Oryzias latipes: one gene and its partner. The protein of the gene in region 2 interacts with the protein of the main gene of each other region in a pairwise test. Links are inferred from orthologs where the notes say so. Each region holds a gene or a part of one and is shown on either strand. Other genes may lie near its edges. The genes, in order: nphp1 and bcar1.

The links.
Region 1: the proteins of bcar1 (region 2) and nphp1 interact in a two-hybrid assay, tested with the Homo sapiens proteins (2 studies listed by BioGRID). The link is inferred for Oryzias latipes from reciprocal best matches to the Homo sapiens genes BCAR1 and NPHP1.

The regions. Positions count from the first base shown.
Region 1 is NC_019873.2:15,304,997-15,307,689, forward strand, and holds part of nphp1 (nephrocystin-1), read right to left. Parts: coding exon 2,621-2,693; intron 2,479-2,620; coding exon 2,342-2,478; intron 2,185-2,341; coding exon 2,142-2,184; intron 2,042-2,141; coding exon 1,954-2,041; intron 1,503-1,953; coding exon 1,408-1,502; intron 1,326-1,407; coding exon 1,197-1,325; intron 1,119-1,196; coding exon 1,044-1,118; intron 973-1,043; coding exon 862-972; intron 761-861; coding exon 678-760; intron 578-677; coding exon 501-577; intron 414-500; coding exon 318-413; intron 1-317. UniProt on the Homo sapiens protein: Together with BCAR1 it may play a role in the control of epithelial cell polarity. Involved in the organization of apical junctions in kidney cells together with NPHP4 and RPGRIP1L/NPHP8. Does not seem to be strictly required for ciliogenesis.
Region 2 is NC_019864.2:4,911,735-4,916,289, reverse strand, and holds the start of bcar1 (breast cancer anti-estrogen resistance protein 1), read right to left. Parts: upstream 3,006-4,555; 5' UTR 2,893-3,005; coding exon 2,878-2,892; intron 1-2,877. UniProt on the Homo sapiens protein: Docking protein which plays a central coordinating role for tyrosine kinase-based signaling related to cell adhesion. Implicated in induction of cell migration and cell branching. Involved in the BCAR3-mediated inhibition of TGFB signaling.

The DNA of each region.
Region 1 (2,693 bases), on a different chromosome or scaffold from region 2:
AAAAAGTGCAAACTAACGTAGACGATGTTTTTACTATCCTGTTAAAAAAGCCAAAATCTGAGTTGTATTTTGTTGAAAAATAACACATTTCTGCTATGTTGTAGAGTTAGACCAATATAGTTGCACCTAGCTTAGCATGATACAGTAAAAACCCAAAATCGCCTTCCTCTGATCACTGCAATTATTTGGACTCATGTGAGTCAGTAATGTGTGCGGCTACACCTAATAGGAATTTGTTGATCCAGCATCAGTTCCCATGATCTACTGCATGCATTGAGGCTTTGCCGTAGGCTTTTGACATTGGTCCTCCCACCATAGTTGCGTTCTGGTTCGACGATTGGTCGATTTCATCTTTACAACCAGTTTGGGCAGCCGCCTGGCATTGAGCATCTGTTGGAAAACACTGCCAGGGGCTTAGGAGGAGAGAAGGTGTACAGTTTGCACTCATCAGCACAGTTTTTCTGGCGTCATGACAACATTAGACTTTCTGATGCTCTTACATCCTCTTGAGACTGAAGTCTCCAATGTGACATCTTTGTCGTACGGAGTGCCACCATTCACTGGCAGCTCGTACGTCCTAAACACATGAAACGACATTATATGGTGTTTGTGACAAATGACTCATAGCATACGGTTATCATTTAGCTGGTATGTGTTGAAGAGTTTTGTGTTTCTACTTGTTAGAGAGTGGATTTCCAGTCTCGTCGAATAGTTTCAGGAAGGCCCAACCACAACTCAATTCTCCTTTCTCCCCTGTTGACTAAAAGCAGAGCAACATCAGACAAATATGGCTCCACAAAGTCTAATTTCCCAGTCCTGTGGCAAAAAAAATTCTCTTTTTTATTTTGCATTAACTCTTACATTTCGAATAAAAGTGACTCCAAGCTCAAAGAGGATTCCTAGATTAGGAGACACAGAGTTGCAGCGCAAGAAACAGTCTCCGTCCATTAGGACGGGCAGCAAGCCGGTCATCTGCAAAAAAATCAACAAATAAGTACTAATACTCTTTTTAGATGATGGGACATAAAACTGGTTAGACATACCTTTGGAGAAAAGCTCCATGTCTTGGGGTTCTTGGGGTTGTATGCTGCTCTGACTGTGTGGATGTTACTCAAAACCTAAAACACAAGGAGTTTAATAAGGAACATGAATTTCCACTTCTCTGCCACTGAGGCAGGACTTACTTAAAACTCTACCTGTGATCCATCGAAGGCACAGACACGGACGTGTCTGCTGAGGACCTGAACTCCGACCCCAGGAGTGGGAATCAACCTGCAACTCCACAAAGTGAAGCAAACACTGGTCTTGACCTGGCGAGCATGTACCTAGGTCAAATGAAAGCACTATTATGAGCCCCCACATCTCCACATAAACAGAGGAGAAAAAAATGGAGATGGTCACGCTCACCCTGCCGGTGTCTGGGTTCAGGAGGAGGTCTTTAAAGGAGAGCTGAGATTGGCTGAGCTCAGGTTTAATGTAGCGACTTGCCCTGTACGTTTCACCTGCGACATTACGCACATATCAAGAGCTTTGTTACTTAATCAGTTTATACACAGAAGATTCAACTGCAGCGGTGAGGAAGACTGCGGTTATCAACTGAAATGCCTTCACTCTGACTATCTTTCTGGCACACACACATCGTAAGAAATAACTGGAAGTGAATCCAAACACACAGGGAGACTGGTGAACACTTTCTATTTTATAAAATGTACATTAAGGTGAATTTTTAGAGAACTTTTCATTTCATGAAACATCGTCTACAATCGGGCAAAAACACATTAGGACAAACTGGTCACTAGTCTTGTCCGGTCCAGTTTTCTACACCAGAAAGTCGGATATCTGTGGTATTTAAAAAACAAAAAGACGGAAATAGTAGCTATTGTCAGAGTACCGTGATCTGCCCTGGTACTAAGCTCTTACTGCGTTCAAATAGTGCTGTTAGCAAAAGATTACCTTCCTCCTCCAGCAGTTTACCGAGAGTGGATGGTCTGAATCCCGGTGGAATAGCTCCCATGGCTGACAGCACATCAGTTGCATCAACCTGAAGCATGAGAAATTTCAACTTTAATTTTTAACTTTATTTTTTTAAAGCCGCGCCTGTTAGCTCTAAAAGAGGAAAACTAAATTTTTGTAGAGTTTACCTCTTTCAGAGCCTTTCTGACCGTCGACCAGTTGGAGACACTGCTGTCAAAGCAATTGAAGGACAAGCACAGATATTTGTTAGTTTGCTTTTTGACTGATTAAGTAAATGATGAAAACTATAAGAACGTTCTGTTCTTGACGGATACTCTGATTTATATCACAAAAGTTTTCTGAGATGTTCATCAAAGTTCAACTGAACCTGTTTTTGTCCTGTTCACCATTGAAGTCTTTGCCAACTTCTGCTTCTACCTCCTCATCTTCAGCTTCATCTTCTTCTTCGCTGTCTTCTTCATCGCCATTGTCTTCCTCATTGTCATCATCAACACCACAGCCAAACTAAAAGACAATGTTCACCTCCACAGTCTTTAATTTTTGTTTGCATTTCAGTTTATTCTTCTTCTCGGTGAAGAGCAAATATTTATTTAAATATCTAAAACTGTATAAATCTGAGTGAAGGTGTCTGAAATGGACCATGTACCTTCAGAAATGTCTTTGGAACCACTCCTCTGTTGCCTTTCGAGTCCTGAGCGAGCCACCAACCATCCACCGTC
Region 2 (4,555 bases):
ACAAACCCAGTTGGATGAGTTGGTGGTTGATACATTTCATACATTGAAATCAAATTCTCTTTGAAAAAGCATAAAGTCTTTTGGGGTTTTTTTTTGTCCTATGAATACCTCTTTTTAAAGAAAAAGAAGATTGAACATTGCATTTAATTCACCAGCATTTCTATAGAGATCATCATCAGTGAGTATAAATGGGAGAATGAGACTGTAAAGCGCTTTGGGCCTTAAAGCAAGGTAGTAAACAGTGAAACATGATGGTGGCAGTATCATGCTTTAGGTTATTTTTTCAGCATCAGGGACATGTACAGAGGTATCTTGAGAGAAAACCTCTTCCAGAGTGATCAGGACCTCAGACAGAAGGTTCACCGTCCAATAAAACAATGACCCACAGCGCTCCACTAAGATAACAAAGGAGTGACTTCAGAACAAATCTGTGACTGTTCTAGACTGGTCCAGCCAGATCCCTGATCTATACCCAATTGAACATGTATGGAGAGACCTAAAAATGGCTGAACACCAACATTCACCATGTAATATGCAAGAAAGAAAGGCAGAGGATCCCCAAATCCAGGTGTGATAAACTTGTTGCATAATTTCCAAGAAGACTCATGGCTGTAGCAGCTAAAACGGAAGCTTCTACTCAATACTTAGACCATGTGACTTTTCAGTTTTTCTTTCTTGTTAATAGGCAGGAATTTCTACCTCTCTGATTTTTTCTATCAAGATAGTTCACTCAGTTTGGAGCCCCTAAAGTAATATAGAAGAAAAAAGATAGAACTGGAGAAATTCTGGTGAGCACCAGAAAGTAGGTCATGGACCAAAAAAACTCGTGTGCAGTACACTAGTTGATCAAAGCAAGTGAATCTCCAAAGCTGAAACAAACCCCATGACTTTAGAACTGGCTTTAGGCGATAACACAAAGGTGACGCCAGACAAGAAAAGCTGCAAGGTAACATAAAACTCAATAACTCATGTAATGATGACAGGGTGTGTCTTTATTGTGTAAATTCTGGGCTCCTTGTTCTGAACTGTGACGTCGTTCGTGGAAATTCTGAGGTCCTTGAACTCCTCACGGATGTCACTGCAGAACAGACAACAGGTGGGCACCTGGCATCAATCGGTTTTAATGAGAGACCAGGACGAGAAAGGAGGATAGAGAGGAGACCAGGACAGGGTTACCCGCCTCCCGGATCCATACTGCACCAGGAGAGGAGTGCGCGCAGTCTGAACCGGGAGAGGATGAAGAGGGGAATGACCCGTCCCCCGGAGAGAATGCGACACAGCGTCTGCTGTAATAAAGTCCTGGCAGGTTGGGCGGAACCAAGAGTGAGCCTCATTGCAGGACAACAACTGAGGATGCAGGGGGCGCCGCTGGATGACAACCGTCGTGGACAATGGCGACTGAATTGACTTAATTTCGTTGGAACCAGAAGCAAGGCATTTTTTTATGGGTGATGTCACACTCCCTCAGTCCAGTTCTCTATTATAGTCAATGGTCTAAAGGCGGAAAAGTCCTCACAGCACACTTTCTACACTGTTCTCAGACATGAACATTTTCATTCTTGTTTAAACTCTTAAAGTTCAAACCTTCCCAGAAAAATAAGTTAAGGACTATAAAATGAAAACAAAGATCTGATTACAATCATAGATTTATCCTCACAGTCAAACTGCATGTATAGAGAGACGGTACAGAGGAGATTGATTGATATGGACAACAGCCAATCAGAATGCAGTCAATGCCCTGCATAAAGACAAAGAAGGAAAAACTGCACTGAAAAAAATGTGAAAACGAAACGAAAAGTGAAGCGCAATATAGCGAGGGGACATGACAACTAACTCTGAAAAGTGGTCCTGTGCACAAATGACCACTTACTTTCTTCTGAGCAACAGATACTTTTTCATGCGCCTGAGAAACCAGTACTCTTTGCTTTCACTTGGATGTCCCTTCACGGGCTCCGTAAGTCAGCGCACATGACTGAGAATTGAAATGAACTTTCCTAATTTTGGCAAAAGGCTACAATGATGCAAAGAGTGAAAAATGTAACACTGTGACCACTGAATACTTTCCGTAGCCACTGTATGTTGAGCCAGTCCACCACTGAATCCCTCACAGGGAACGAACGCTTTAATGGAAAGTGAACATGAGTTTGGAATGACAGCAGCGAAGAAAATGGAACGCCAAACTGGCCGCATCCCATCGTATCTTCCTGTCAAACCTCTGCTGGCCAGGACCAGATTTTCTGTTTGGGAAAATCCCAGAACTATAGAAAGAAAGCAACATCCTTCTTCAAATGTCACAAATAGTGTCAATAAATCAATAAAGGTATAAATATCATATCTACCTTTGACAAATCAGTGTCCGATCTGCTCCAATTTACGTCACAGCAGAAATGAACAGGCACTTTTTTTACCTTCTTGTTTAAATTTACTTTAAGAGGTACATTTTTTTTGCCAACTCTATTTATTTTTCATTGGAGATGAAAGCAAATGTGCAAAACAATGTTTTTAGTGGCTTTAGACCAGTAGACCACAGGACTGAAAAACACATCCACAAAGTGTAAACTAACAGAGTGTTCTCATTTCCTAAATGTTTAAGACAATCCTAATTTTTGTGAAGACTACAGTTTCTGAAGACCCTGATAAAGCCTGATTGGTTTCTTGTTTCAACCTTAAAACGTACACATTATGTCTCCCTTATGTTGGCGTGATTACTGGAAACACGACCATAACCTTCACATAACGTTGCTTTCACAGAGATGTAGAGCAGCCCACTGATCAAACTAAAGAACCGCTTGGCGATGGAATGCAGAAGCACTGGAAAAGACGTCGCTGGAACTCTGTTGGGTGGAAAAACCCTCGAGTTCCAGCAGAACTTCTTACCTGATCGCACTGCATGCCAAAGAAATGTTAGCAGACCCCTGCAGCTAACATGATCAGTTGTTTCAGCGCAGAGAATACTGACGAACCAAATTATGCCCGACGTTTGTTGCGGCTTCTAGGTTGTTCAGAAGCAAAAGCCCTCTGTATCTGGCTTCATCGTTTCTTCCCCCACTGCTCCTGCCTGTCTTGACATGTCAGTTCTTAAGAAACAGTATCGTGCGCACATTTAATATGCAGACAGAAACCTCTACCCACGGCATTTACCTGGAGCTGCAATGGTCATTCTCTTCGCCTGAACAGAAATCAGTTCAGCATTTTTGCACCAACACCATTTCATGTTAAATGAAAAACTCTGTACAGCGTTTTCAACTCAGACTGTCACAAACTGAGAACGAAAAGACTTCAGTAGAAAAAGCATCATGTAGTTTATGAAGAAAGTGAGGGAAAATGTTTGTAAAAGAAAAAAAGCATCTGGGTTTTCCCTGAAGGATTAGCTTACTTGAAGTCTTCATGTTCGTTCTTTTCTTCTTTATGTTTATCAGCTGCTAAATATTCATGTCTCATGGAATTGTTAGGAAAGCCCATACATTTTCCAGGTGAACCTACATGTGTTGGACCTGAAGCAGGTGTGTTGCAACGCTACGCCGCACCAAACACTTCAAAATCAGGGTTTTATTTGCAGCGCCAGCTATTTAGTTATGTTTTGGCAAGGGATGATTCCTGCAGAAAAATTCCTGCTGTAGGCCGTGACTAACAGGAGTAACAACAGCAGGGATTATGTAGCCTGGAGCATAGGGCAGACTGCTGTGGGAGGGGCCTGGTGTTGCTCAACCTGCTTTGGTAAAAACTCACAAATAGCTGCCTGAGGGATGAAAAAATACAGTGGATGACTGGTTCAAAGCACCTCGCCCTTCTGCACAGCAGGGAGAATCAAACCATCAGAAGCACACAAAGCTGGTTTTCAGTCCAATAAAAACTGGATTAGCTATCCTGCCTTCAGCCTGCTGCTCCTGCTCTGTTTGCCCTTCGTGTAGCTGCTTTAAAGCCCCTAGTGGTGGTTTCTGTGCGAGAAAAGGTTCCTATTTACAGGACAAGTTTTAAGGTTTGAAGGATCAAAACAAAGAGAAATGATTATGTGGCGTTCATGAGATGCTCCACAGAGCAGGCAGTGTTTATGAGCTTTCCTAACCTACACTTACAAAGGCAGCAGAGGCCTGAGCTTAAGCCTGCTCACACACTTCTTTGACGGGCGTGGATGAGTGTGTGGTGCGGAGCTGCTATACTGTCAGCTCTAAGCACACCCATGATCCACAAAGATGTCTTCTTCACCCTGTAATCCATCCCTGAACAAAGCAGAAGTTACCCGCAGTTCTTCGGTGATGCTCTGTGTCCTCAGCAGAGCTGTGAAAACAAAGCCCCCCCCCGGACCACTCTCAGTAATCCAAGGAAGCTGCAGCTGAGCCGTCACTGTGACTCATGGGTTGTTGTTTGTGAGTTCACTGTACTGAGACCATAGGCAATCATAGGCACACACGAGCTCTACCTGAGGAGGAGGAGGAGGAGCATGTGGGATAACAAAAAGAGAGTTCATTTTAGCCTCATTTGGCTTCAAGTGTGAACGCTCCTCTGAGCTCTGGTCTAGACCAAACAAGCAAATCTTGGTCCAGGATCTGCAGGA